7 linked regions of the Callithrix jacchus genome follow. The protein of the gene in region 3 purifies or fractionates together with the protein of the main gene of each other region. This does not show direct contact. Links are inferred from orthologs where the notes say so. Each region holds a gene or a part of one and is shown on either strand. Other genes may lie near its edges. The genes, in order: PPP1R9A, PPP1R37, PPP1CA, RASSF7, PPP1R18, CAPZB and PPP1R3D.

Region 1 (3,940 bases), on a different chromosome or scaffold from region 3:
AACCAAGATACCTCTCTTCTTTAATAACCAGTATTGGGTCAAAAAAAGTACCTCTCAAACGGTATACTGTGTCAGAGATCGTTCCAACAGGTGTATTAGGAACTTAGTCACAGTCAAGAGTTACACAAAATGTTTTTTTTTTCAAAGCAAAACTAGGGGTTCATCTGCAATAGAAAAGAATGAATTTCTGAATTCATTTACTTATTTCAATTTATATCTAGTCAAGTAATACATAATTTATTTTCCAAATGGCTTAGCTACGTGTCAAACAGAAGAGATTACTCATTGAAATGGGAAGTTAAAAGTCAATAAATTATCATTCTGATTGGTCTTTGGTAAAAAAGGTTTCAAATACATTTTGGAGATCCCTATCAAAATCTCTCTCTCTCTCTCTCTCTCTCACACACACACACACACACAAAGTTACACATAAGCAATACTTTAAACCCACGTTTGGTCGCTTTTGTGAATACCCTTAAAAGAAACCAGCAGTTCATCAATCTTTAAGAAATCATCAAACTGTCCAGAAAATCAACTTCACTTAGGATTCTCCACAATCAAGTAGAACTTATTCTTTCTAAGCACAATTAAGTTTGGAATCTGTTTACAAACTCTAAAACATGCCTACAGAGGCTTATTTCACTTTTTCTGCTCCAATATTCTCATCTACAGCATCTCCAAAACAATACTAATGTAATTTCAGACCAAAACAAGGAGAAAAAAAGTTCCTGAATGGCAATAAGTTTCACTCTAAGTTCAGTTATAACAAGTATTTGGAAGTTTCCTAACAGTGGTTATTAATTATGGAGTGGGATGCAGACTACCATGGGAATAAACGCATAAGAATGTGACAATCAGAAAGCAAATATACTGTGACATCTCTTTCCACAGCCTTGATTTGTTTATTCTTTCTTGCCTCTAACTTACTACAGTTCAAAACGCAATGCATGTTTGCTGGTCTCCTTTAGCCCACAGCAGGATTGTACATCAATCAGCCAGCAGCCAAATACCTCAAAATACGCTGCGGAGCAGACAATCTAAAGATTTTTCATTTTGTTTTTGTTTTGTTTTGATATTAGACCTAGCCACATCACCTTCACGCACAATCAGCTGAGGAGGCACACACTTTCACTTAAACCGTCTCCAAACTCGGCTCCTGGCCCAGCGCGCATGCATGGCCCATGCAGACAAACAAGAAAGGCTTTGGAGTGTGGTGCCTGTCTTTTCTTTTTTTGTAAAGCATCGACAATTTCCTTTTACCCTGACCATTCTTTTCAAAGCCACAAACACCCTCCCCTCTCCCCTACACACACACCCCATTCCCTCCCCCGCCAATTCCAACCCAAGGAGGCGGGGGCGGAGGCGATGGAGCCGCCGGGGGATTCAAAACCTGCCCTCACAAAAGACAAACATAAATAACACCAACTTGAGAGGCAGCCGATTCCCAAGCCCGGTTCGGGACGCAATCCCTCGACCCTGGGGCAGGACCGGGAGAGCAGGTGACGCCAAGCGCTATGGTAGGAGGTCGCAGTCTAGCTTTGTGCCAAGAAGCACCTGAAGTCCTAACACATTGGCTGCGGCTACCAGCGGCTGCCAGGCGGATCCCTGTGTGGCAGGGAGAGAGACGAGCTCCCTGGCCACATTAAAAAAAAAAAAAAGAGAGAGAGAGAGAGAAAGAAAAAGAAATTACAGGGTAATGAAAATAAATCCCTTTGTTTTTCCTCCCAATGTGCCAGGAAACAATAGATCCCACTGATATTGCCTCTGATCTTCAACCTATTGCTCCTCCACCACCACCCACCCCCACCCTCAGCCTGCAACTCAGCCTTTGTACAAGCCGATTTTTTCCTCCTCTCCACCCTCCCAACTCCTCGCCTCGCGCACAGCCTCCCCCTTACCCGAGCGGGAGCGCCGCGGGCGGGGAGGGTCGGGCCGCCACGGCTCCCACCCCCTCCTCGCAGGCGCCCCCCGCCCCACGGTGGCCGCGGCGACTCGGCTCGGCGCTGGCCCGCTGGGTGCCCCGCCACCCGTTCCTCACGGCGCAGCGCGCAGGGCTGCTGCGGCGGCCGCTTCCACTCGCGCCTTGGCCCCCACTCGCTCCCTTCCCGCGGCGGGCGGCCCCGGGAGGCAAGCTGCGCTCCCCAACGCCATTGCGGGCGGGCGGCGGCCCGGGCAGCTACGCGCGCGCACGCTTGGGCCGGCCTGGGGCCACGGGTGCCGGCCGTGAAAGGGGTTTGGGCCACGTGTGGTCGCCACGCCACGCCGTTTGGGCAGCTAGGGAGGCTGCGGTGTCATGGAGGAGAGACCGCGGGGATGAGGAAGGCCAGGGGTAACAGGTGCCTCACCTCGGCTGATGGGATTAACTCTAGGGCCGCAGAGAGAGGGAGCCCGGCAGCAAAATCCCGGGAGAGGGAGAGAGAGGGAGCCTCTGGCGGCCAAGTAAGGGCGAAAAGCACCGGCCCGAGGCGAGGCCGCCCCACCCCCTCGGCCGTGGGCTAGGGGCCTCTCCGGCCTAGGGGCAAGGCCGGCTTCCGGTTCGGGTATTGGCTCTGGAACTGGGTTCTGAGGGGAACAGCTGCCAGGGGCCTCACTTAGTCTGCAGTTAACTCCGTGACCCCAAGGTATCCAAATCCCAGGCCACTCTGCTGGCCAGGAAGGCCAAGACATAGGCCCAAGTCTAGAGTGGCCTTCACCTAAGCCACTGTGCCTGGTCTGCTACTCACCTTGACCTTAAGGTCCCACTGCCAAAGAGAAAGGGATGAGGAGGTCTTCTGCCTTTTCTGTCTAGGGAGAGTTTTTCAGCCCACGCCCCCCACCCCCGCCCTTTTCTAAACACTTAGTACACCCTCTTCCACCCCCAAATACCGGAAGTGTTACCACCTTCCTGCAAAATATAAAACTGATCATGACTGTCAATACAGATCTTTAAACCAATCCTTCCAAAAAGCCTGAGGAGCAGGAACCCTTAAAAAATTTTCAAGAAGGTAAAAACATGTCAATGGAAGAAATATAAGATGAACATGGGTCAAAATTTTTACAGCTCTTAGTTAGAAAGGGAACCTCAGCAAGATACTACAACCCATTCATGTGAGACTGTGAAGAATAAACATATAGGCAAGAAGAGGCAAAGCTGCTTAATATTCTATAGAGCAGTAAAATGTTTATTATCTGCTTTACAGGGCGGTAACCAGTTGTATCTCTAAAGTAACTAAATAAATTTGCATTCTGTAGATAATATTCATTTACATATTACCAAACGATTCTACAGCTTACTGAGTAGTAAAATAGCCTAGAGAAAGTCACTCTAAGGTACAGACTACTTTAAATTCACAACACTCTGGAGCCCTGTGGATAAGATCCAGCATTCCATTGAAAGGACAAACAGTAATCTTTTGCTCATTTCAATGTCTTTCACAAGTTTTCCCAACATAACTATTTTTAACACCATTTCACTGACGGATAAACTAAGGTTTAAATTTTATAACGTATCCACTTCTCTATTAGCTATTAATAGTGAATAATTATGGCTGGATATGAACCTTGGCAAGTCCGTACACAGATTCTATATAATCTGGTAGCAAAATCTTTTTATTTCAAAAGGATTTTGTAGCTACTCAATACTCAATTCTATGTATTTTTTTAATTTTAAACAGTGAGGGCTTATTTTTTCTTTAAGCGTCACCAAATTCTGGGTCCTTTCCCAAGAAACTGGCATTCTCTGTCTATGAAGAGGATGTCACTTCTATAAGCATAAACAGATGTAACAGGCAATGTGAGGGGGTTGTGGTTCCAGGCTCCACTTTTGGAAAGAACATTTGTGCTGTCTGGGATAATCTAGTGGAAAAGTTCTTGTCATTTATTTGCAGTATGGAAACCAGGTTTTTTAGGCAAATAACCTAAATAAATGCAGAATCTAATCACTGAGTTCTGTCTGTAGAAG
Region 2 (4,238 bases), on a different chromosome or scaffold from region 3:
ATCCAGCCCTCTCCTAAATCCCATGGTGAGAGTATTACCACCTACTTTACAGATGGGAAAACTGAGGCTCAGGAGCTAGGTAACCAGTCTGAGGTCTCGAAGGCTCTGACCTGGAGCCTCTGCTCTTGAACCACCCTGTTCTGACTCTCCAGGTCTTTCCCCTTCCTGCTCTGAACTGGATACCATGCTATAGCCAGGGGCCATTCTGACTGTGCCCTGGTCCCAAACTAACCACCTCTCCCTGGGCCGTAGAGCCCAAGGACTTGGCTGGCTCCCAGTGCCAAAAGTCTCTTTTTTTTTTCTTGTTTTTGGACAGGATCTCTGTCACCCAGGCTGGAATTCAGTGGCGCAATCATAGCTCACTGCACCATCAACCTCTTGAACTCAAGTCATCCTCCCTCTTCAGCCTCCCAAGTAGCTGGGACTACAAGCATATGCACCACACCTGGCTAATTTTTCTATTTTTTTTAGAGATGGCATTTCACCTTGTTGCTCAAGCTGGTCTTGAACTCCTGGGCATGGGTGATCTGCCCACGCTGGCCTGCCAAAGTGCTGGGGTAACAGGCATGAACCATGGCACCCAGCCCAAAAGTCTTAATTTAACCACTGCCAGCCAGATCACCTGAGGTCAGGAGTTTGAGACTGGCCTAGCCAACACGGTGAAACCCTGTCTCTACTAAAAATACAAACACTTTTAGCCAGGTGCGGTGGCAGGCGCTCGCAATCCTAGATACTCAGGAGGCTGAGGCAGGAGAATTGCTGGAACTCAGGAGGCGGAGGTTGCAGTGAGCCGAGATCATGCCACTGCACTCCAGCCTGGGCGACAGAGGGAGATTCCATCTAAAACAATAATAAGAAGAAGTAACCAAACTCATTCATGATGGACTCCCTGTGTGTTCAGTTTCCAGTTACCACGTTTCCCACCCTCACATCAAAGCCACCACTTCCTCCACTGTCCACAGACCGGCAAAAGTTTCTCCCCTTACCCTGGGCCAGGAGATCAGCTTCTAGAGAACCACAGCCAGTCCAATCCCTCACTTCATGGGCTCCACCCTAGCAGGATTGACAGACTTCTCCAGCACGAAATGAACTCAACACTGCCCTGCATCTCCCAAGCAACTTCCACCTTCCCAGCCCTATGGCTCCAATACACTCCTTTCAGCTCCAACACTGACCTGACCCTCTTCAGTGGGCTTGCCCCCTCTCCCAACACCTCAAGTGGTCAAACTTCTTCAGTTCTCTCACCTGCTAATAGCCAGCAACTCTAGCTCCTGACTTGATAACATCCTCTCATTCTTTTTTTTTCTTTGAGGCAGAGTTTTGCTCTTGTCACCCAGGCTGGAGTGCAATGTTGTGATAGCTCACGGCAACCTCTGCCTCCCAGGTTTAAGCCATTCTCCCTGCCTCAGCCTCCCAAGTAGCTGGGATTACAGGGCACACCATCATGCCCCAGGCGATTTTTATATTTTGAGTAGAGACAGGGTTTCCCCACGTTGGCCAGGCTGCTTTTGAACTCCTGACCTCAAGTGATCAACCTGCCTCGGCCTCCCAAAGTGCTAGGATTATGGGAATGAGCCAATGCATCCAGTATTGGCTCATTCTTTCTCAGGAAGGAACAAGAAGACCCTTCCACAGTCATGCCCCAAACATCCTCTGCTCCTGAACGACTGACAGCCTTCCTTCTGCCGTTGGCTTTTCTTAACACCACACTGCAGCTGGAGGCAGTGGTTCACGCCTGTAATCCCAACATTCTGGGAGGCCAAGGCGGGAGGCTCGCTTGAATCCAGAAGTTCAAGACCAGCCTGGGCAACATAATGAGATATCATCACAATAAAAAGAAAAAACAACACTGCCTCTGACTCCCTTACCTAACCACAAATTGACCACCAGCCCTGCTCCTCTTCTGGGAGCTTACCAAGTTCTCCACAGTCACAGTTCAGGTTTATATTCTTCCTCTTTCCAGCCAAGAAAGTGACCAACACGATCACTCCCTGCCCCGAGGCTTGCAGACCAGCAACTTAACCTCTTTTTAGCCTCAGAGACCCAGCAAACTCTTACAACTGCCCTTTCAGGGCCAGTGTTGACCTGCTCCTCCTCCCTTTACTGCTCTCGCTCTCCTTTTCTGGTAGAACTACGAACGCAAAGGCTGCCACCCTCCCCATCTGACAAACCACCAAACTTTATTTAATGCTCATCGTTTTAAACCCTAAAACGATCACCTCCTTTGTCTCGGGTGGGTGGGGTGCGGCAGAAACCAGATACTTTTCACCTTCCCAACTCCACGGCCACCTTCTAACAGCCTCCGACTCTAAACTGACGACTGTCCCCTTAATTAGCCATTAGGTGCAATCTATTGAACGCCACCTCTGAACGGGGCTCTGCACCGATCCCTCCCGACCCCCGGGTCCCCCTCGAGCCCGCCCCCGCTTCTCCCGCAGTAGCTACCATGTCTCCAGGGGTCTTTGGGCTCCACTGCACCAGACACGATATCCTCGTCGGACGGGAACGTGACGCGCTTGGCTGCAGCCTTGAGGCGCCCATCCGCGGGGGGCGAGGCAGGGCTGGGAGACCCGGCCTCAACGGGGGCCTCTTCAACGTCGTCGTCTGCGCCCGGCCCGGGCGGAGCCTCCTGCGGCGGGATCTCCATAGCCGCCGCCGGCTCCTCCTCACGGGGGCCCCGGGGACATGCCCCGGGCCCCGGACTTGTCTCTCCCGGCCCGCCCGCCGTCCCGGGGCATGGGCTCCGCCACTGCTTCAGGCGCCGCCTCCGTCCGCTCTCCTCGTCGTCGTAGTCGTCGCCGCCGGGAGCCCAAGCGCGCCTCCGCCGAGCCCCGCGCGCGCCTGCCCGTTCGCAGTCACACTTTCGCTCGAGGCTGGCGAGCCCGTCGCTTACTAAAAGACGCAGAAAACCGATTTAAGTGACTTGCAGGTCGAGTTGTCCCGCAGGTGACATGAAGAGGGAAACAAAAGGCAGAAAGGGCCACGGAAAAAAAAAACGTGAGCAGCGAATCTGCAGAGCCGGAACTGCAGACCATGGGGGCGGGGCGAAGTAGACGCCGTCTCCAAGAGCAGCGCGCAAGCGCGAAGCTAAGCCCACGCCTCCCCGCCTGAGTCCAGATAACGAATATCAGCTCCGCACATTCGTCAAGAGCCCAGGGAATGGAGTGGATAGAAATGAAAATATCTGATGGTTCGCGGCGGCGGCTCATGCCTATAATCCCAGCACTTTGGGAGGCTGAGGCAGGAAGATCGCTTGAGTCCTAGAGTTCGAGACCAGCCTGGGCAACATAGCGAGGCCCCGTCTACAAAAATATTTTAAAATTTGCAGGGTCTGGTGTCGGGCGCCTGTAGTTCCAGCTGCTTAGGAGGTGGGAGAATCGCTTGAGCCCAGGAGGTTGAGGCTGCACGGAGCTAGGATCCCGCCCCTGCACTCCAGCCTGGGAGACTGAGCAAGACCCGGGAAAAGGCTCGCTCAACAAAAGGAAATAAATATAAACATGGAGGTTAGACTGATGAAGAGTGGGTAACGGCATGAAGAAGTCGAAACAAAAGGCAGATAGGAACTGCATTCAATATACAAGTACAGTTGATGGATGCTGACAGATAGGGATCCTCTGGAGACAAAGCCTCGGCCCCTTGGCTAGTCACCGCAGTTAACATCAACAGCTCTCTGTACCTAGGTAGAGTTGCATAAAATACAACTTAAATTACAATGCTAAAATAAATAGGAGCCCATGAGCAGTATCATGGGCGATTTTTAAAAACTAAACCTAGGAGAAGGTAGATACTCCAAAGGCCAACCCAAATCCTGAGTGACAAGGCCGGTGGGTCACCGAGGCAAGAACGAACTAGGGCGAGCTCAAGCCACACCCTCCGGCTCAGGCCCAACGGTTGACATTCGCCGCCGCACTTTCGCCACGCTTTCCCTAGCGCACCCGGCAACCCGGGAGAGGCGGGGCTGAAACCATAAAAGGAAACTGGGGCGGAGCGAGCCGCGTCGTTGCCAAGGCAACTTAAGAGCTAGGTCCGGGCCTCTGCGGAGCCGGCGTCCCGAACCCACGGATGGCTGCTGAGGCTGCTCCTGGCGCGGTTCATCATCGGCCGCCGCAATTTCGCGACTGAGACGAAACGACCCTAACCTTTACTTAATGGTAGGCTTCGCTTACATCCTGAACTTGAAGTATCTGCAGAAGGGGGCAGAAACGGCTTTCTTTTTAAACAATGCACTGAAAGGTTAC
Region 3 (4,184 bases):
GTTGGGAGCTGAGAAAAGTGTCACCAGCTGCCTCTTGGCAAAGAACTCATAGCCATCTTCTACCACCTGGGTGCAGACCAGAGCAGTCAGTTCTGCATGCTGGCACTGGCCTCCCTTTCTCCCACCCCAGGCCAGAGCTGCCAGCCCACCTGGTGCGCCCGGCAGATGAGGTCCAAGTCGTGCTTGTGCAGGAACTTGGCCACCACCTCGGCTCCGAAGGTAAAAGACACGCCACGGTCGTTCTCGCCCCAGCCTTGCACGTCCTTGTCAGGGTCAGACCACAGTAGGTCACACAGCAGGCCCTGGTCAGGCACGTCTGTGGGCCGCATGATACGCCGGATCTGCTCCATGGATTGCAGGTCTGGGGACAAGCCTGGGGGACCGGGGGAAGTCCACATCCTCAAACAAGGACATCCTCACTCCAGGAAGCTGTGGCCAATCAGCCTCACCTTTCCCACTGCCCCCTTGATTCCTCCACAGGTCACCTGGGCACCCAGGCGGCAGAAGTCATCCCCTTCCCCTCAGCTTTTGCAGGTTCCCAAAGAGGCACAAAGATGTCCCCGCCCTCAGGAGCGCAGAGCTCCCGGGAGATAGACAAGCCAAGCCTATTCCATGTAGGATGCACAAGGGAGTCAGCGCAGCCCGGCACAGGGGTATGGGAGACACTTCCCAGAAGGAGTGACTTCCCAGATGAGACAGACCTAAGGAGAGCTGGCCCGGCAATGGGGGATGCGGCCAGGTCTCCTTGTCCCCAGCCGTCCCCTCCCTCACCTCCGTGGCAGCAGAAGATCTTTTCATCCACGATGGCTGCGATGGGCAGGCAGTTAAAGCAGTCCGTGAAGGTTTTCCACAGTTTGATGTTGTAGCGTCTCTTGCCTGCCCAGGAGATGGCTGTGAGGGGCCCGCCTACCCCACCCTCCACCTGGGTCCCTGGGCTATTCAGACGCAGATGGGAGGAGAGAGGCTTGGAGGCAAACCACCCTGCACCCTGCCCCTGTCCCCACTCCTGCCCCTGCAGCCTATCAGCCTTCCAGGAACTATTCTCTTTACTTTTTATTTTAACTTTTAATTAAACAGTCTTGCTCTGTCACCCAGGGTCAGCTGGAGTGCAGTGGCGAGATCATAGCTCACTGTAACTTGGAGCTCCTGGGTCCAAGTGATCTTCCTGCCAGAAGTAATTCTAAAGCACCCAAGTCCAATGAAAACTGAGTTCCAATCTGGACCGGCCTCAGGGCTGGCACTCCCCAAACACCCCCACCCATAAGCTGGGCCAAGTACAGGTCTGGTTTATCTCAGCTTCTGGACAGCTGAGCCCATCTGCAAACACATCCTAAGTGCTTAGTAGCAGATGTAAGTGGAGCCTCACCAGGCAGGGCCCTGGGAGCAAGCACCAGAATACCAGCAGCCTTCCAGTCAGCAACCATGCCCCAGACCCCGTGCCAGGCAGGGCAGGGCAGGCACGAGAATGGAGCGGGCCCTGCCTTCGTGGAGCGCACAGTCTAGCAAGTGTCTGTCAGATACGAAGCCAATGTGAGGGTCCCACTGAATAGCAAGGAGCGTTTCGGGACCCGGGCAACCCTGGGTGCTCAGACCACTCACACTCATCGTAGAAACCATAGATGCGGTTGATGCTGGCACACTCGTGGTTCCCACGGAGCAGGAAGAAGTTCTCGGGGTACTTGATCTTGTAGGCCAGCAGCAGGCAGATGGTCTCCAAGGACTGCTTGCCCCTGTCCACATAGTCCCCCAGAAAGAGATAGTTGCTCTCCGGAGGGAAGCCCCCATACTCAAATAGTCGCAGAAGGTCGTAGTACTGGCCGTGGATGTCACCTGTGACCCATGGAACCGAGTAAGCTAGATGCTGGGTCTAGACTTGAACCCAGGGCCAGGACTAGGCTCAAGGGAGGAGGGCTCCAGGAACTTTGTGGGGGCCAGTGCCACTTTTAGGAAGCCAAAGGGGCCTGGGCGAGGCTGGGGGCTGCTCACCGCAGATCTTGAGGGGTGCCTCCAGCTCCAGGAGAATGGGCTGGCTCAGGAAAATCTCCCGGGATTTCAGGCACAGACCGCGGATCTCGTTCTCTGTCAGCTGTACATTCTTGCCAGGCCGCGAGCCCTGCACTGGGGGCGCAATGCGGAGTCAGGACCCTGGCCTCTCAGACAGGGGGAGGGTGGGCGACACGGTGGCCCCGTGGATACCTCCGGGGGCGCCTAGGCCTCCTCGGCCCCTCCTTGCCCAGAGGCAGCTGTTGCTGCTGAGCCTCCTGGGACGTCGGCCTCAAGCCTCCCAAGGGAAGCCCCCCTAGTTATCCTCAAAGGCTCGGGAGGCGACTGTCGTGCGCAGGGGGCTGCCGCCCAAAACCTCACAGCGCAAGACACCTCCCTGGACCGGGCTTCCCGGGTTTCTCCCTCGCCCCAAGAGCCGAGGCAACCCGTGAGCCCCCGGCCGGGGAGAGGGGGCTGCTCCGCGCCTCGAAGCCGGCCCCGGACCTCTCAGGCGCGTCCGCGGGGGGGGGCGGCTGCGGCCACGGAACCTCGCGGCGCGTCCCCGCCCAGTCTAAGCTGGCCCCGGGGGCCCGCCCGCGCGCCACTTCCGGGCTGGGCAGGGGTCCAGGGCGCGGCGGACGCGGACCTTCCCCACCCCGGCCAACCTTCCAGCAGGCGCCCGATGATCGAGTCCAGGTTGAGCTTCTCGCTGTCGGACATGGCGGCGCCGCCGCTCCAGTCCAGCAGCTCCGGGCCCGCTCCCGTCTCCCGCCCTCCGGCTGCCTCCTTCCGGCCTGGCTCTCCTTCCGCCCGCCCCAGTCCGCCCCCGGCCCGCCGCTCCGCCTCCGGGCCTCCCGGGCCCGCCCTGCCCGGCCCCCCGCGCTCTAGCGCCCCCGCTGGATGTGAGGCGCGGAGGCCCAGGGGGCGGGGCCTCGGCGGCGGGCTGGGGGCGGTGTCTGTCGGGGGCGGGGCCGAGGCTAGTTACGCCCGAGAGGAGGCGCCCAGCTCCGTTTCGAGGATGTGGGGCCGGAAGGAATGTGGAAGTTGTTTTTCTCTTTCAAAAGCTGAACAGCCCTTCCCACCCCTGCCCTGGGTGGAGGGTGTCGTGAACACGTTAATAACCGGCTGCCCCGCACTGAGGGTTAACTTCTCCAAATGCAGAAAGGGAAACTGAGGTTCAAGACATAGCGACAGGCTGGTTCAAGACCTGGACCTCGCTTGCACCGAGGACCCCCTTCCTCGTGGGTCTCCGTGGCCCCCAGGCGGCTGACCACACTCAAAGACAGCTAGAATTCCCAGCGCACTTTGGTCCTTGGGGCATGCTAAATTAATATTTTCTTATAAGTCCCATAATTAGCTTTTTTTTTTTGAGGCGGGTTTTGCTCTGTCCCACAGGCTGGAAGGCAGTGGCGCGACCTTGGTTTAATGCAACCTTCCCCTCTTGGGTTAAAGCGATGACAATGCCTCAGCCTCCAGAGTAACAGGGACTACAGGCGGATGTCACCGCGCCCGCTAATTTTTGTATTTTTATTAGACGGGGAGTTTCCATGCTAGCCAGGCTGGGATCACAGGCCTGAGCCATCACACCTGGCCCCATAATAAGCTTTGAGTAGCACAGTAATATTGCAGGGTGTGCACGTAAAAAGAATTATAAAGAGTAGACATTACATGAACCGTAATTACTGTTGGAACCCTGAGTTGGGTGCTTTACACACCAGTAACCTCAAAACTGGAGGTGGGCTGGCCATCGTGGCTCAGGCCTGTAATTCCAGCACTTTGGGAGGCTGAGGCATAATGATCTCTTGCGCCCAGCCTGGGCAACATGGCGAAACCTCGTCTCAACACAAAACACAAAAATTGGCCAGGCACCGTGGCTCACACCTGTAAGCCCAGCACTTTGGGAGGTTAAGGCAGGCAGATCACAAGGTCAGGAAATTGAGACCATCCTGGCTAACACAGTGAAACCCCGTCTCTACTAAAAATACAAAAAATTAGCTGGGCATGGTGGTACGTGCCTGTGGTTCCAGCTACTCAGGAGGCTGAGGCAGGAGAATCACTTGAACCAGGAGGCAGAGGTTGCAGTGAGCTGAGATGGCGCCACTGCACTCCAGCTTGGGTGACAGAGAGAGAGAACGTATCAAAAAAAAAAAAAAAAAAATTGTGCTCACTTCGGCAGAACATATACTAAAATTGGAACGATA
Region 4 (4,047 bases), about 6.9 Mb from region 3:
CACCCGGACCCGCTCAGGCCGCAGCGGCGCTCGGGGTCGCGACCCAGACCTCGACCCCGCGCATCCAGCGGACTCCGGGTCTGAGCAGCCTCCGCCAACCCAGGGAGCCCCGCCGCCCAATCGCTCCTTTCGCCCCGAAGTTCCCGGTCTCCGCCGCGGGCACCGATGCCCGAACCACAACCCCAGCCTGGCGGGAGCCCGGGCGTCCCAGCTCCGTCGGGTGGGCGCAGGTGCGGCGACGCCCCCGCCCTCGGCCCCCCGCCCGGGCCTCGCGGAAAACGCTCCCCAGTTGGAGTTGGTGCCCGGCCGGCTCGAAGCAAGCCCCGCACTCGGAAGGCCCCGGGACCCGACGCGGCTCACCTGGGCGCTCGCCAGCCTCGCGACCCGCTCGGGCACCGCCGCAACCTGCCGCCCCCAGCGCCGCGGCGCGCCCCGACCCCGCGCCCCCATTGGCCCGCGGCCCGCGTGCCCCGCCCTCCAGCACCCCTATTGGCTTACCCGCGCGGGTGTCCCGCCCTCCAGCCCTCGTCCATTGGCTACCTCCGTCACGCCCCTCCCCGCCCCATTGGCTCGTCGCCGCGCCCCGCCCCCAGAAACTCCAGGTGTGGGCGGGCCAGAGGGCGGGGCCTAGATGCGGCCCCCATCCCCTATCCTGCGAGGTACGCGGAAACGCGGCGGCTGCGGCCCCCCGGGCGGCGCGTCGGGGCAGGTGTCTGGCCCCGCTCCTGGGCGGACTTCCTCAGCCGCCTTCCAGTGTGGTGGGTTCCTGCCCAGGGAGGGTCGCCGGCCTGGGCTCCCGCAAACCCCACCTGTGCTCGGGGGCAGCGGGGCCAGCACCGCCCCTCGCGGCCCCCGCAGCCGCCGTCGCCTGGACGCGCAGGGGTCTCAGGCTAGCAGGTCACAAGTCCCCGGCTAGGGACGTGGAGCCCTGTGGGGCTGGTGGGCGCCGAGCCCTGGTGCGGGAGGTGCGCGCTCGGGAGAAGGCCGGGGCCCGGGCTGAGGCTCTTCTTCCCCGACACCTGCCTGCCCTTTAGGACCCGGGGCCGGGCCTGGCGCATAGCGAAGCCGGCTGGAAGCCGCTCCTCTGCCCTGCTGTCCCGGCCGGGGTCCGCAGCCTCGTGGTCCGCCATTCATTGCCTATTCTGCCCAGCTCAGAACGAGTTGTGGGCGTGGAGGGGCCTCCTGCCGGCCTGTCTCCTGTGCTCCTCTAGGGAGGCCTTACCCAGCCGACAAGCTGCAGAGATGGAGGGCGAAGGCTGGAGTGCTTGGGTCAGGTCTGGCCTCGCTTTTGTCCAGGAGGAGAGGGAATACTTGTCATGATAATGGCAATGCCCAAAGGGGTCCCTGGGGGTGGCCCAGAGGGTGTGGAGATGGCTGGAAAAGGTGAGGCTTCCAGCTTGCGGGTGAGTGCTGGTCATTGAGGTCGAAGGGGCTGTGGGCCCGGCCTGGCGGTGCAGGCAGGCACCTGTAGTCCCAATAACTCTGGAAGCAGAAGTGGGAGGACCACTTGAGCACAGGAATTCGAGGTTACCATGAGCTGGATCACACCAAGGAACTCCAGCCTGGGTAACAAAACAAGACCTTGTCTCTAAAAAATTGATTATTGGCCGGGCGCGGTGGCTCAAGCCTGTAATCCCAGCACTTTGGGAGGCCGAGGCGGGTGGATCACGAGGTCAAGAGATCGAGACCATCCTGGTCAACATGGTGAACCCCCATCTCTACTAAAAACACAAAAAATTAGCTGGGCATGGTGGCGCGGCCTGTAATCCCGGCTGCTCAGGAGGCTGAGGCAGGAGAATTGCCTGAACCCAGGAGGCAGAGGTTGCGGTGAGCCGAGATCGTGCCATTGCACTCCAGCCTGGGTAACAAGAGCGAAACTCCGCCTCAAAAAAAATAAAAATAAAAATAATTATTAATTTAAAAAGAGGCTGTGGGTGGGGTGTACTACTGTAAGTTAGCCCTCACCAGTCCCCAGCTTGTCACTGTTACCTGTCTGCTTCCTGTCCCCCACGTACCCATGGCTATGCTGGCCTGGCTCACAGGCAGCAATGCCCCATATGTGTCACACTGCTGCCACCAGGCTGGGTAGGGGGTGCTGAGGCCTCCCTCAGTTTGAGGGTGTTGGCCACTAAGTGGTTCCCCGCCACCCCAAGCTGAGCAGTGGCTCAGTCTCTCACACCTCCTCCAGCCTGGGCTGGCTCAGAACTCACCCAGGGGCCTGGTCTGGGGTCTCCCTGGAGCCTCCAGGTAACAAACAGCCCCTCCCCTTCTGGGTGCTGGTATCCAGGGCAACGGTATAGAGCCCTTCCTTCCCAGGCCTGCTTGGAGCTCTGGCCTCAGGTGAGTGCTGGGGGTGGGGTCCTGAGCTGGGGAGACCAGAGAGAAAGAGAAGGACACCACGTCACTGGCAAAGGTCAGAAACACACAAGTGTGGACACCCATTTTGGGGCTCCTCAAATAGCCACCGCTGGGCGGCCCCAATGTGGCCACACAAGCACACCCAGCAGACCTGGCCCCCCCACTCCTCCCAGCTCCCAAAGAACATCACGAATGGCTCCCAAGTCTGGCCCCGGGGCTGAAGAAGCCAAGGAGGAGGCTCTCTCGTCCTCCACAGACCGAGAGTCGGTCAGTGGTCACCTGGGACCTCCAGCGGGCACACCTGCAGCCTCTGCGACTTCCATGACACGGGTGGCCTGCTCTGCCAACCCGCAGTAAGGATGGGAGGGAAAAGTGGTGAAGCTCCTGGGCCAGATGGCTGGGGCCCAGCCTGAGCAAGAAGCGGGGGACACTGTCACTGCAGGTTGGCTCCTGAGTCCCTGGATCCTCGCACGCTGCGGCTGCTGTGGGGGCAGCGAGAACTAGAGATCCAGGCCTTGCGGTGGGCGGTCCGGAATGGCCGGGACACCCGGCTCTGGCACATCCTGCAGGAGGTGGCGGGGCTTCCGCCCAAGAGGTCTGAAGCACAGCATCCAGCCCAACCCAACCCTGCCCTGTCCTGGCCCGGACTCCTGGTTTCTGACCCCAACCCCAACCGCCGAGTCAGATCCTTTCCCTTGTCCTTGCCCACGCCGACCCTCCACCCTGACCCTAAGCTAACACACTGCAGCTTCAACCCCAGCCCTGCACATGTGGATGGGTGCCAGGCCCCTGCCCAGACCCGTGGGTGGCTGGCCGGCCCCAGTGCAGCTGTACTGTCTGCCCTTGGGGCCAAGATGGCCGTGGTGCCCCTCCTTCACCACTGACCTGGTGTTAAGAACGCCTGCACGAGCAGGCTGGGGGCTGCTGAGGTCATCCCTCCTCCAGGAGCTCCCACAGTCAGGAGAGGCTCCTGCAGAGCCAGGTCCAGAAGCTGACCCTGCAGCTGAAGGAACAGAAAGAGCAAGCCCAGTGGGTGAGGTGGGGGCACAGGGAGTGGGCGGGGTCCTGGTGTTGGGAGCCAGGCCAGGGCTGGCCTCTCACCCACAGGCCCTCCTGGAGCAGGAGAAGGAGTACCTGGAGGAGCAGCTGCTGGAGACCACGCGCAGGCTCCAGGAGGTAGAGGCTGAGCTGCAGAACTTCCAGAAGTCCTGCCTCCTGCAGCTAGCCCGCTCCTCGTGGGTGGGCCGCATGCTGCAATCCCAGACTGGCAGTGTGGAGGTGAGCGCAAGCCCCGCTGCCCCAGCCACCCTCCCCAGCCCTCACCCTCCCATTGGGTACCTCTGCTGGGGGCCCTGGCCTGCCTGGAAGCCTGCCGGGCTCAGGCTGCCTCTGGAACTCCAGGCTCCAGCGGGGAGGAATCAGGAGGCCTCAAAGTACAGGTGTGGTCAAAGAGGAGCGGTGCTGTGGGGGAGGGTGCCACTCGCCCCAGTCCCTGCCCACTGGCCTCTGGTCCCCTCTGGCAGGTGGTGATGGCAGGGACTCTGATGGACCCAAGTGACCTCTCTGAGAACATTCAGGCCCCCACTGGGGAGGTGAGTTAGGCCTGCCACGTGTGTGGTCTGGGAGGAAATGTGCCTCTTGTTTCCTGGCCAGGGCTTTCGGCTGGAAAAAGACTGGAACAGCATTGCC
Region 5 (4,055 bases), on a different chromosome or scaffold from region 3:
GTTTCAGCCACTGAACTCCAAGAGTCCACATCTCACCAGCAAGGAAGAGCAGGGTATGGAATTCATCTGTCTCCTCACTGTTTAGGGCATGGCATGCTCCCCTTCAACAGTCTCCTAGAAGGAAAGGATCTGCCCTGACCATTCCGCTGGCGGGCACCATTGCTTCTCTCTGTGCCTCTGGGATCCCCCTCCCACTTCGCCACCTCTGGCTTCCACTCCGAGAAGCTGGACCAGGGTCTGCAAGTTCAAAGGCAGTGGCTGTCCCTCCAGGCCCCACACCTTGCCTCAGCACTCCCGGCCCTAGTGTCTGCACCTCCTTAGGCCCTGCCTCTGAACCTAGTCAAGAGGATTCTCCCGTTCTTAACTTGGGGCTTCCTGTTCTGGATGCTCTGCAGGAAAATAAAAGCCTGATTTTTCTACGTACTGCATGTAGTCTGTCAGTGTCTCCCAAGCTGCAGGGCTGAGTTTGGGAAGGAAAGCCAGAGGGAGCCTGCGAGCCCGCGAAGTGGAGTCTGGGCAGCCACCACGCCCTCTGGCAACCGCTGGCCTTCGACCACCGCGCCCCCGCTGACCCGCCCCCACTTTGCCAGAGAGGCCGGGTCCCCATTCCTTCAAATCCCCTTCCCCCACTCCCCAACCCCGCAGCTGACCAAGAGACTCATGGGAGGCAGGTTGAAGCTAGAAAGAGTGGGGACAGCAGCTCTGGTAGGAGAACGAGCTTCCAAAACTGCTGGCTTCTGAGCGCCTCTCCTGCCGCCCCCTCCTCAAGGCCTCCTGGTGGCTGCCCTCGACCCGGCAAAAACAAAGACTGGCCGGAGAAGGCAAAATCGCGGGGAGGGCTGAGAGGCAGGAGATGGGAAGGGCGGGCCCGGCTCCTAGCAGCTGCCGCTTCCTCCCAAAGTCCCACGAGGGGCCTGAGTCACGGGCCACCGCCCTGGGTCGGCGAGCTGGGGGAAGGGATCTGGACACCTGGGTTCTTCAGGGCTACCGGGAGGGAAGCGGTTGAGGGCCCCTGGGGACACAGAGCAGAGGACCAGGGGTTGGGGCGAGTAGGGGGCAGTCCCAGAGCCAGTCCCACGCGCGGTGGGAGGGAGCCCCGCCCTCCCCTCGGGCTCCGCCCTGCGCCCCCTTCCCTCTCCTCATTGTCCTTAGACAAAGCGGTCGCCGCCCCCGCCCGGCCCCCTGATCTCTGTCTCCGTCCCTCCTCCTTTGCTGCCTCTTTCCCTCCTCCTCTCCCTCCTCCTCCCCTCCCTCCAGTCTCCGGATCTCCCTCGGTCCCTCTCTCCTCCTCTTCCTCTCTCTGGACGCCCGGCTCCTCCGCACCCCCTCCCAGGGGGGCCCCACGGCGTGTGAGTTGACTGAGGGGCTTAGACTTGGGGAGGGGGTGTCTCCTCGCTCCCGTCCCTGGCCCGGACCTTGGCTGTCTCCTCTTTGTGCCGAGATTGTCAGTCTGTGCAGCCAGAGCGGGGTGGAGACAGCTGGCTCTGTCACGGCTCCATGAGAGCGGGGACCGGGCATGGGACTCGCAGGCGCTGGAGAGAAGAGGCATGGAGCCGGCCCTCGGCACTCCGGGGTCGCCGGGCGCAGACGGCGGGGGAGGCAGGCGGTATTGACGGGACTGGGTGGGGGTGGATACCAGGGTTCTGGGAACGCGCTGGCAGCCCCGACGCCCGGGTTCCGAAAGTCCCGGGGTGGGTATTTCCCCCGACCCGCCTCGGGGGCGGAGTGCGGGGCAGAGGGGTGGGGGCTGGGGAGAGGCGTGGCCCCAGCGGCACTGGAAGCGGAGCAGGGACCTTTGGGGCCCGCGCTGAGACGCTCCCGGCCGCTACCGCCGCGCTCCCTTCCCCTCTTCCCTGGTTTCCCTTCTCCCCTAGACCTGCTCGCTCTCCGCTCCTCCCTGCCTCCTCGACACCCCCTCAGGTCCCGTTGCCCTCCTCGGGAGGGATTCCCGGTCCTTCCTTCCCACACTCACCTCCCTGGGGTATCGCTGAGGCAGCCAGGCCTGCACCCGGGTTCCCCTCATCCCTGCCCCTTTTCTCTTTTCACCCTCATAGCAACTTTTCTTTTCTCCCATTCTCTGTTTCCCACATCCTAGAGACTGTCTTTAATACGCATTAACCCTGTACTGCCACATCTGGCTCCTGTCCTCATTGCCTCCAATCTGGACTCTTCCTCTCACATCGCCCCCACCACCCCCAACTTGGGCTCATAACTTCTCTTCACTTTTTCCATTTCCCCTGTTCTCTGCCGTCCCTCTTTCCCTTGGTCCTCATCCTCAGCTCCTCTGCCCTGCTCGTGGTCCCACCTCTCCCCCTCCACTTCCTCCCCTCCCACCCTCAGTCTCACTCCCTGGGCCTCTCTGGAGCCTCTTCTTCCTGTTCTCTGCCCCCAGTGCTCCCTACCCTCACCTCAAGGCGACCATGACCACCATCCCAGACTGGAAGCTACAGCTGTTAGCCCGGCGCCGGCAGGAGGAGGCGTCCGTTAGAGGCCGGGAGAAGGCAGAACGGGAGCGCCTATCCCAGATGCCAGCCTGGAAGCGAGGGCTTCTGGAGCGCCGCCGGGCCAAGCTTGGGCTGTCCCCTGGGGAGCCTAGCCCTGTGCCAGGGACTGCAGAAGCCGGACCTGCAGACACAGATGAATCTGCGGTCCTTCAGGAGGCCATCGGGCCAGTGCACCAGAACCGATTCATCCGGCAGGAGCGGCAGCAGCAGCAGCAACGGAGTGAAGAGCTGCTAGCTGAGAGAAAGCCTGGATCTCTGGAGGCCCGGGAGCGGAGACCCAGCCCTGGGGAGATGCGGGATCAGAGCCCCAAGAGAAGAGAGTCAAGAGAAGAGAGACTAAGTCCCAGGGAGACCAGAGAGAGGAGGCTGGGGATAGGGGGAGCCCAAGAGTCGAGCCTGAGGCCTCTGGAGGCTCGGGACTGGAGGCAAAGCCCAGGAGAGGCGGGAGACAAGAGCTCCCGACTGTCAGAGGCACGGAAATGGAGGCTGAGTCCTGTAGAAACTCCAGAGCGGAGTCTGAGACTAGCAGAGTCTCGAGAGCAAAGCCCCAGAAGAAAAGAGGTGGAAAGTAGACTGAGCCCAGGGGAATCTGCCTACCCGAAGTTGGGCCTGACAGAGGCCCATAAATGGAGACCTGACTCCAGAGAGTCTCAGGAACAGAGTTTGGTACAACCAGAGGCAACAGAGTGGAGGCTGAGGTCAGGAGAAGAAAGAAAAGGCTACTCAGAAGAATGTAGGAGAAAAGAAGGGAGGCCAGTTCCAGGGGTGGCCCCAGAAGAGACTACAGAGCTGTCAGAGACCCTGACAAAGGAGGCCCAAGGCAGCAGTTCTGCAGGAGTGGAGGCTGCAGAACAGAGGCCTATGGGAGACAGTGAGAGGGGCATGAAGCCAACAGAAGGGTGGAAATGGACCCTGAACTCTGGGAACGCTCGAGAATGGACACCCAACGACAACGAGGCTCAAACTCAGAAACCAGAACCTCCAGAGTCAGTGGAAAAGCGTCTGGAGCCTCCCGGTGTGGAAGCTGGAGAAGGGGAGGCTGAGAAGGAGGAGGCGGGAGCTCAGGGCAGGCCTCTGAGAGCCCTGCAGAACTGCTGCTCTGTGCCCTCCCCCCTCCCACCAGAGGACGCTGGGACTGGAGGCCTGAGACAGCAGGAAGAAGAAGCAGTGGAACTCCAGCCCCCACCACCAGCCCCTCTATCTCCCCCACCCCCAGCCCCAGCTGCCCCCCAACCTCCTGGGGATCCCCTCATGAGCCGCCTGTTCTATGGGGTGAAAGCAGGGCCAGGGGTGGGGGCCCCCCGCCGCAGTGGACACACCTTCACCGTCAACCCCCGGCGGTCTGTGCTCCCTACGACTCCCCCAGCCACCCCAGCCTCTCCAGCCACAGCTGATGCTGCAGCCCTGGGGGCTGGGAAGAAGCGGTACCCAACTGCCGAGGAGATCTTGGTTCTGGGGGGCTACCTCCGTCTCAGCCGCAGCTGCCTTGCCAAGGGGTCCCCCGAAAGACACCACAAACAGGTAGGGGAACAGCCGAGCCAGACTTCTTAG
Region 6 (3,500 bases), on a different chromosome or scaffold from region 3:
CTGCTAGTTTCTGAGTTCCAGTTTAAATGTATGTTTCTCTGGCGTTGGTTAGTACCTGGCATTCAGGCTGTCAGAAGTCCCGGCACAGAGCACAGATCTTCATGGGTGGTCTGTGTCCCTGCAACTCATCGACTATGTTTGACAAATGAACAGTCTTGGGCTTTGCCTAAGGTTCTGTGGCCAGCTCACAGCAGAGCCACTCTCAGGTCTCTTAGTTCTCGTTCCTTCCACCATTGCTGTGGCTCATTGAGGTCATATATTAATAAAAATGCCAGGGCTTTCACGACAGCCCCAGGTCTCTCTGTGTAGTGCTTTCTCACCATACCATGGTTCGTATCTGAGAGTGCCTGGTTGGAACCACACATGAAACTTGTCAGCATCCATTCAAATTGAGTTCTGGACAAGTGCTTTTGCTAAAGATTCCTACCTGTCAATTTATTAATTTGAAAATAAAGTTGATTGGAGTTTGGGAGGCTCCATGTTGTAAAACTCCTCCTTTCCTCCCTCCTTCCGTCCCTTCCTCCCAAATATATTAAGCATTTGCTGTATGTCAGGCACTGCCACAGGCACTGAGAATCCTGCGGTGAGTAAGATCGAAGTTTTTGCCCAAGTAAAACTTGCATTCTAGTGAGGGAGACAGACAACTGATCAATGAAAAATTACTCCACCTGGTGTTAAGTGCTAGGAAGAAATTAGCAGATGCTTTTGATTCATAGGTTAATCTCTTGGATAGGAGTAGAATCAAGCCTCTTTTATGCCAACCCCCATTTTCTTGTGAGCTTTCCTACGTTGGGGGGACTCAGCTGCAAGCAGCATGCCTGGTGGGAGAAGGGAAGCAGCTGGCTCCAGGTGGGGTCGAGGCACTGGATCCTCACAGGTACATTTGTACCCCATGTCTGAAGCAGCACAGTGAACTGAGGTACGATCGAGGCTGCTGTTGACATCTGAGAGTAACAGGTGACAGATGATCTTGTCTAAAGGAAGAGAGAGGAACCTGAATATGTCAGGCAATAACATGCGACCGTTTCCCTGTGTCGGACTCTGCCCTGAACACTGAATTCATTACCTCATGTGGGTCCTTAAAATCACATGGGATATCCAGACGGGTTGGTTTTATTATCCCCACCTTACAGGTACAGAAACAAAGTCTCAGTAGGGAAGTAAAATGACTTCCCTACTGAGGTTCCTTATGACCCAAGGCCATAAGGCTGCTTGTACGCAGTGGAGTCAGTAAGTCCAACTTCAGACCCTATTTGCTCAGTCTCTGCTATAATTCAGGATAAACTGGGCTGATTGTGTCAGGACTCCAGCCAGAGAGAATGGGTTCCAGGCAAAAGTTGAGGCCCAACAGACAAGCCAAGGCAACAGCCCAGCATTATAAATGGAGATGCTTAGGGACAGGTATGATGTGTTAGGCGAGGCAGCAGGCACATAGGTGCCCAGGGGTGCTTCACTGGCAGTGGCAGCACGGCATGGCCTCTTCCAGGTCCCAGTTGCCTTGGGTGGAAGCTGTTAGACCTTCCTTTTCTCAGCCAGGACTTCCTTCCAGGTGAAGGGCTCTGTGGCCACCCCTGAGCAGGGGTGGGGCTAGGAGGGGGCTGTTTGCCACCAGAGTGTGCCTTTGGCATACACTGTCCTTCCCCTTTGCTGGACATTAAACCAAAGTTAGAGTGGGAGGAGTAGGGCCTTTGGACTCATATGGCCCTGGTTTTGTTTTCTGTCTCCACTGCTTGCTTCTTGTGTGGCCCTTGGGTAACTCAGTGACTCCGGGCCTCAACTCTAATCTGTAAAATGGGGCTTTACATACCCACTTTGCTGAATGTGTGTGAGCTTTCAAGTCAATGACATGCTCTATGTAAAGGGCCTAACGTAGTTCGTGGTGCATGGCACGCACATGGAAATGGTAAGGGGCATGATATATCACCAAAACCAACTTGGAAAATAGCCCCCATTTTGTTACGTTTGTTTAGAAAGGGCAGATACACCTGGAAAAAGAATTCTGAAAACAAGCACAGGTACAGGCCAGCCCTAGGCCTCACACCTATAAGCCCAGCACATTGTACACAGAGCTTGGTGGTGTATGTCTCTCTCTTTGAGTGCTGTACCCTGTGCAAGAAACAGATCGTCTCACCACGGCCAGAAATTCTATGGGTTACGAGGCAGGGTTACAGTCCTTTCTTCAGTTGTGCTGGATATTGCTTTCCAAGCTGAGTTCTAAAGCACTCTGGAGGGGTAGCAGAGGAGCCCATGGAGGCTGGGTAGTCTCTGTGGTGGTGGGGCTCCCTGTCCCGGTGTCTTGGACGGTGGCAAGGGCCTTCTGGAAGAACACAGGAACCACCATGGCTGTCACCCTCTCTGCCGAGCCGCTCTGCTGGTGTCTTTGCCGTGCAATTTAACTTTTCCATTGGGAAGAGTTATTGGTGCAGTTGGCAGGCGCTTGCCTGGTAAACGATACAGTGGGGCCCCCATAAACCCAGGCCCATGAAACAAATAAGTCAGCACATTGAAAATATAGCATGGAAATGACTCAAGCCTGAAGGAATCCATTTCTGAAAGTACTGCCATCCCTTTCTGGGACATTTTGGTGGAAATCGATGTTTGAGTTGGGAGGAGGAGGCCCGTGGCCTGGTTACTTGCAGAGCCTTGTGTCAGAGTCGCAGCACTGGCCCAGGGTGTAAGTCCTGGCAGCCCCCGACCACGGGGTCATCCTTCTCGGTGAGGCGGCCCCCTGGCAGGCCAGACAGGGGTGAGCCCAGTGGGGTTCTGTGCTGTGGGAGCCGGGGTGAAGCTCTCTTTGCAGTAGAGAGAGTTGACTCTACGAGCCAACTGGTAACACTTGGCTAGGGGCCTGGAAAGTACTGGAAACTCCGCCCAGCATGGGAGCCTGTGGGAGTTCTCCGGCACGGACGAGTTATTCTTCTCTGAGTTCTTTAGATTCCTGTGTATTTGAAATGCTTACCTTCTTCTCAGGACTTCGGCTTGTACTTTTCCCACCAGAGACCAATACTAAGCACATACACACTTAAATTTACTAGGCCACCCTGGTGACCAGGTAATTAAAGCTGCACACCCGTTTTTGGAAGGAAGACTGTATTAGAAATCACGCTCCACTGTAATTCAAGAATGGGCTTCTTTATAGAGGGACACAGTTGGTGTCAGACACACATGGAAAAGAAAAGAACAGGCCCGTGATCTTGGCTCAGAACCCAGGGCCAGATGTTAAAGGTTCTGACCGTAACACGGCTGCAGCATGTTACCACCTGAGTTTGGCATGCTGTTTTAACCTCTGTTTCGACCTTGTCCTTTCTCTCTGCCAGGTCCCCAGTCTATGTGAGGATCTCCTGTCTTCTGTTGACCAGCCACTGAAAATTGCCAGAGACAAGGTGGTGGGAAAGGATTACCTTTTGTGTGACTACAACAGAGATGGGGACTCCTATAGGTGAGCTCACGCCCCGGGGATACAGCAGGCGCAGCAGCCATTTGCGGGCTGCCGTGGGTGC
Region 7 (4,146 bases), on a different chromosome or scaffold from region 3:
GTGTCCTTTCGGTATTGATTTGACAGATGCCAACAAGCATTCAAAAGTTTAGAATTAATTCCCTGGTGACAGTATCATAAAATTGATCACACTGGTTTCAACTGTATCACAAACACACTTCACAAACTGGAGATCTGATCCTTCTTGGCTTTTTTTTTTTTCACACCTTAGTTCTAGCACCTGTAATCAGAGAGACCACTGTTCAGCACCAAAAGAACCATCAGCCTGGAGTTCTTTGGAGTTTTAAGCGATTGCCTAACCCAGGAGGGCACAGTGGTCTTGACTTCTTGGCTGAAGGTTTAAAACAAAAAAGAATTTAATATTTTAAAACTGACAAATCTAGAACATGTTAGAAACCCTATTTGAAGGCACAAAGTATAAAGTTTGTGGGTACCTGATAAAACATGACATATGTAAATACAGCTCCAAACAATTTACAAGTATAAATATTTATCAATTATTTTTCTCTAGTGCTCTGGCTATTGCTGAAAACACCTTCTAGTTCCACCTTCTAACTGGATTCCCAAAAGATAAATACTGACATCCTCTGATGCTTAACAAGAAATAAAAAGAGTCACCTTAATGGTCAAAAAGGTAATCACCTTAATGGTCAAAAAGGGCACTGTTGCCTAAAATTCTCTAGTCACCTGAAAATTGAAAAAACGAAGGCAAGACTTCTTAAAACGTTTAGGAAGTTTCAGACTTAAACAGAATGGCCTGAACAGAGAAATACATGAAATCAGAATTGTGACTGCAGAGAAAGAACTGTTTTGCTAGTTTAAGTTTGAAGCTTTTCCCCTCCTCCCCAGCTGTTAACCTAAGAGACACACAGCCCCACCAGGGCTGTCTCAGTGCCCAGGAATGGTTGTGTGATGACTGATAATTTCTTGCCTATTAATAGTTTCCCACTGTTAGAAGGCTACAGCCCATTGGCAAGCAGATGTGGTCTCAGGTTTTCCTTGTCGTGGGGCAGGAATGCCTGGAGGGACCATGATGTGGGTCACACTGTACATTGTTTACTGTGGGCACAAACACACAACAGACCTTTTTTTTAGCTTATTAAATCGAGAATATTCCTGAGGAGGCATTCGCTATGAGCTAAAGGTCCCAACATCACAATAATAAATAACAGCTATGTTTACAGAGACACATTCAGGACACATGCAAAAGCTCTTCCTAGCAGGAGGGGGCCTTTCCAAAACAAGCTGCTTGGGCCTCCCCAGAGGGCCCACCCTCCCATGCACCTACCCCACCACCGTGCCCCAACTCATTACACAAGTCAACTCGGCCTTCCGGCCACCTGAGGCTGCTTTTTAGACCAAGTGACTCAGACATTTCAAGCAGAAGACAGGATGGGCCTCTGCCGGGGGACCTCGCAGCAGAAAATGAGGTCAGAGAACTTGCAGGGTGGCGAAGAACAACCAGATAGATGTGAGGGCCCAGCAGGGAAATGAATGACAGCAGGCGTTGCTTAAGTGTGGAGGCTCCAGGCTGTGGCCCCGCGCGGCTCAGATGAAGTGGATCCAGCTCCCTTCACACTCCCCGCGAGGCATGTGCAGCGCGTGGTTGCGACACGTGAGGCTGTAGTCTTGGCCACCGTTGTTGTCCCAGTACTCGGCACCAGCCACTTGGTAGCGCACAGCGAAGTGCACGAGGGAGCCGAGCTCCAGCAGGAAGGGAGGCACCGGGAAGCCGAAGGTGAAGACGTCCTCTGCGCCCTCAGTCCCCGCGGGCCCGCGCCACCTCGCCACCGCCTCGTGGGTGCTGCGCCAGCCCGAGAAAGTGTAGCGCACCGCCACCTGCTTCTCGAAGGCCACGTTGCACACGCGCACCGTACCGCTGATGCCAAGGTCCGAGCAAGTGACACGCTCCAGGCACACCAGCTGCCGCCGCAGGCGCTCGCCAAAGTCGGCGGCCTCGACGGGCGGCGGGAAATCGGGCACCAGACACTGCAGGGTGAACTCCAGGTCTTGGCTGCTGCAGCACAGGTCCGAGTTGATGGCAAGCCGCGACAGCACGTGCAGCGGCACCGACGGGTCGTCTCCCGCGTTGAACACCTTCACCTGCGCCAGCTCCAAGCCCAGGGCGTCAGCGAAGCGCACGCGGAGCTGCCGGCTGCAGCCCGGCCGACACCCAGCGCCCGGCGCGCCCGCGGCCTTCTGTCGGCGCTCGGGGGAGCTGGGCAGCGAGCGCGCTCGCCGCAGGATGATGGGCCGCAGGCGGGGGTCGCAGCCCGACGGCGCCGGCGTGGGTGGCGGCGCGCGGCCCGGGCTCCCCGGGGGCCTACAGTGCGGCGGCTCCAGAGCCACGTTGCTGTCCAGGTCCGACAGGCAGCTGAGGCTCCGGGGGGCGAGCTTCCGGGATCCCAGGGCGCTCGGCAGAACTGCGGAGCTCGGGCCTCTGGACATGGCCCCGCCGGCCGTCGGAAGATGGGGAGACAGGGATGAGGGGATGCCTCCCGACCCCGCGACAGCTCCCTCCGTGCTCAGAAGCCGCCGAGAGTCCGCCGTGTCTGCAACCTACGGGGGACCGCTGGGGCCCGGCGCGCCCTACTCTTGTTCGCCACCTTGCCCCTGGAGTCCTCGCCCGGGTCCTCCGCTTCTTGCAGTTTAAGAAATTTTAAGAGACGAGCTCTTCTCTAGTGGAAGCTTTCAGAAGCCTCCCGGGAACTCAGGGTAGCGCCTCTTTTTTTCTTTCTTTCTTTTTTTTTTTTTTTTTCTTGCTTCCTTGGAGGTTCTTACGAGAAGGCTGCGTTCTGGGAGCGGCCCCTCCCACTTTCCCGGTCGGTGGCGTTACTTACGAGGCTGCAACTCGACCGGGTGCAACTTCCCAGAGAGCCTCCGCCCCGCCCCTCGTGACGCCACCTGCAGGCGGGCCCCCGCCAGCCCGGGCCGGGCCTGAGAGCTCCGTGGAGCTGCGCGCCGCCGCCTCCAGCTCCACTGCCGCAGCGCGCCGCAGCCAGGCCTCGCCGCGCGGGTGCCGGAGACGAAGGAAGGCTGGGAGCCTCGTCACGTGTGCGCTGCAGTCGCGAAACAGGTCTGATCAATGTCTGTTTACGTCTGCCTGGACCGCGCGCCTATCGATCCCAGACCCTGTCTGCACAAACGGAGGACAAGGAAAATGCATGCTGCGTGTCCTTAGATTTCTGGGTTGTGGCGTGGGGAGCGGGGGTGCAAACACCGGCATTGCCAGCAGCTGGCCCCGGGCTAATTGTAAACGTCGCGGCTAGCCCACACTTTGGACGGGTTCACTGCAACCTAGACCCTTGGCCAGACCGCGGGAGCGTCGCTGCGTGGAGGAGCAGCCTCCTGTCCGCATCACCCACAATGCTTTGCCGCCCCGAAAGGCCCACAGATTCCCCGCAGGGTGGGGACTTGAGGCGCTGCTGTTGTCTTCCTGGACCCAACGCCGGAGAGGAAGACGGGCAACCAGAGTTAATACCCGGTGATGACTTCCGCAGCTGCCCTTAATCAGCCTCTGGCGCTTGGGGAACAGATTTGTAGACAGAGTCTCCGACTTTCAGCTTTGTTTCCAAGCAAGCCGGAAACACCAGCGAGGCCTGGAGCTCGTTTTCTGCATCCTTAGAACCCTGCAAGCCTTCGTGTCTCTCACCGGGTAGCTCTGAGCACAAAACCCCACACAGACTTTGGTGTAAATCTTAACCAGGTGAAATGAGTGAGAAAGATCCAGGTCCACTTTCCAGAGAGCAGTTTGGGGCCAAGCATTCCACTGAGAAGGTTCCTTTTTCCTGTCCAGAGGGACAAAGCAGAAAGAAAAAAGGACTAAGGAAGGGGGTTATATTAAAGAACATTTTCTACATCTAAAATGAGTCAAGCTTGTTGATTGTGGTATAATTCATTAAATGTGAGAGAGTGATTTTATTTATCATCGGATGTGAGCTAACTAAAAAGGCTTACATGGTTATTGTGGAAAAAATACAGGAAAGTTTCAGGAAGAAAATATCTATAGTCACATCTCTTTTATGTTACAGAGACAGGTGATATGGGAAAGAGAAATATCCAATTTCCATTCAGCGCACTTTTAACAGGCCGCTCAAAATGGGAGGGGAATAACAGATATCTGTGGTATGGGTCAACAGTATTTCACAAAGAGAGAATAAGTAATATGTATGAATATATGGAAAAT

Evidence for each region.
Region 1: the proteins of PPP1CA (region 3) and PPP1R9A purify together in Homo sapiens (affinity purification with mass spectrometry; 3 studies listed by BioGRID and IntAct, counting the BioPlex papers as one, with this or other methods). This does not show direct contact. The link is inferred for Callithrix jacchus from reciprocal best matches to the Homo sapiens genes PPP1CA and PPP1R9A.
Region 2: the proteins of PPP1CA (region 3) and PPP1R37 purify together in Homo sapiens (affinity purification with mass spectrometry; 3 studies listed by BioGRID and IntAct, counting the BioPlex papers as one, with this or other methods). This does not show direct contact. The link is inferred for Callithrix jacchus from reciprocal best matches to the Homo sapiens genes PPP1CA and PPP1R37.
Region 4: the proteins of PPP1CA (region 3) and RASSF7 purify together in Homo sapiens (affinity purification with mass spectrometry; 3 studies listed by BioGRID and IntAct, counting the BioPlex papers as one, with this or other methods). This does not show direct contact. The link is inferred for Callithrix jacchus from reciprocal best matches to the Homo sapiens genes PPP1CA and RASSF7.
Region 5: the proteins of PPP1CA (region 3) and PPP1R18 purify together in Homo sapiens (affinity purification with mass spectrometry; 5 studies listed by BioGRID and IntAct, counting the BioPlex papers as one, with this or other methods). This does not show direct contact. The link is inferred for Callithrix jacchus from reciprocal best matches to the Homo sapiens genes PPP1CA and PPP1R18.
Region 6: the proteins of PPP1CA (region 3) and CAPZB purify together in Homo sapiens (affinity purification with mass spectrometry; 3 studies listed by BioGRID and IntAct, with this or other methods). This does not show direct contact. The link is inferred for Callithrix jacchus from reciprocal best matches to the Homo sapiens genes PPP1CA and CAPZB.
Region 7: the proteins of PPP1CA (region 3) and PPP1R3D purify together in Homo sapiens (affinity purification with mass spectrometry; 3 studies listed by BioGRID and IntAct, counting the BioPlex papers as one, with this or other methods). This does not show direct contact. The link is inferred for Callithrix jacchus from reciprocal best matches to the Homo sapiens genes PPP1CA and PPP1R3D.

Annotation. Positions count from the first base shown.
Region 1 is NC_133512.1:54,748,844-54,752,783, forward strand, and holds the start of PPP1R9A (neurabin-1), read right to left. Parts: upstream 2,801-3,940; 5' UTR 2,724-2,800; intron 2,455-2,723; exon of another isoform or gene 2,346-2,454; intron 2,181-2,345; exon of another isoform or gene 1,899-2,180; intron 1,634-1,898; exon of another isoform or gene 1,427-1,633; intron 165-1,426; 5' UTR 1-164. UniProt on the Homo sapiens protein: Binds to actin filaments (F-actin) and shows cross-linking activity. Binds along the sides of the F-actin. May be involved in neurite formation. Inhibits protein phosphatase 1-alpha activity.
Region 2 is NC_133523.1:39,285,729-39,289,966, reverse strand, and holds the start of PPP1R37 (protein phosphatase 1 regulatory subunit 37), read right to left. Parts: upstream 2,801-4,238; 5' UTR 2,648-2,800; coding exon 2,446-2,647; intron 1-2,445. UniProt on the Homo sapiens protein: Inhibits phosphatase activity of protein phosphatase 1 (PP1) complexes.
Region 3 is NC_133511.1:124,477,355-124,481,538, forward strand, and holds the start of PPP1CA (serine/threonine-protein phosphatase PP1-alpha catalytic subunit), read right to left. Parts: upstream 2,801-4,184; 5' UTR 2,704-2,800; coding exon 2,649-2,703; intron 2,119-2,648; coding exon 1,987-2,118; intron 1,831-1,986; coding exon 1,600-1,830; intron 877-1,599; coding exon 772-876; intron 374-771; coding exon 150-373; intron 67-149; coding exon 1-66. UniProt on the Homo sapiens protein: Protein phosphatase that associates with over 200 regulatory proteins to form highly specific holoenzymes which dephosphorylate hundreds of biological targets.
Region 4 is NC_133511.1:131,332,673-131,336,719, forward strand, and holds the start of RASSF7 (ras association domain-containing protein 7), read right to left. Parts: upstream 2,801-4,047; 5' UTR 2,712-2,800; coding exon of another isoform or gene 2,532-2,711; intron 2,367-2,531; 5' UTR 2,211-2,366; intron 1,483-2,210; 5' UTR 1,419-1,482; coding exon 1,223-1,418; intron 759-1,222; coding exon of another isoform or gene 166-758; exon of another isoform or gene 1-165. Other genes in the region: LMNTD2 (lamin tail domain-containing protein 2), read left to right, coding at 166-758, 2,532-2,711, 2,801-2,953, 3,304-3,391, 3,481-3,636, 4,012-4,047. UniProt on the Homo sapiens protein: Negatively regulates stress-induced JNK activation and apoptosis by promoting MAP2K7 phosphorylation and inhibiting its ability to activate JNK.
Region 5 is NC_133505.1:35,482,941-35,486,995, reverse strand, and holds the start of PPP1R18 (phostensin), read left to right. Parts: upstream 1-1,255; 5' UTR 1,256-1,547; coding exon 1,548-1,606; intron 1,607-2,392; coding exon 2,393-4,025; intron 4,026-4,055.
Region 6 is NC_133508.1:56,290,987-56,294,486, reverse strand, and holds part of CAPZB (F-actin-capping protein subunit beta), read left to right. Parts: intron 1-3,317; coding exon 3,318-3,439; intron 3,440-3,500. UniProt on the Homo sapiens protein: F-actin-capping proteins bind in a Ca(2+)-independent manner to the fast growing ends of actin filaments (barbed end) thereby blocking the exchange of subunits at these ends.
Region 7 is NC_133506.1:55,556,082-55,560,227, forward strand, and holds the start of PPP1R3D (protein phosphatase 1 regulatory subunit 3D), read right to left. Parts: upstream 2,801-4,146; 5' UTR 2,409-2,800; coding exon 1,509-2,408; 3' UTR 1-1,508. UniProt on the Homo sapiens protein: Seems to act as a glycogen-targeting subunit for PP1. PP1 is essential for cell division, and participates in the regulation of glycogen metabolism, muscle contractility and protein synthesis.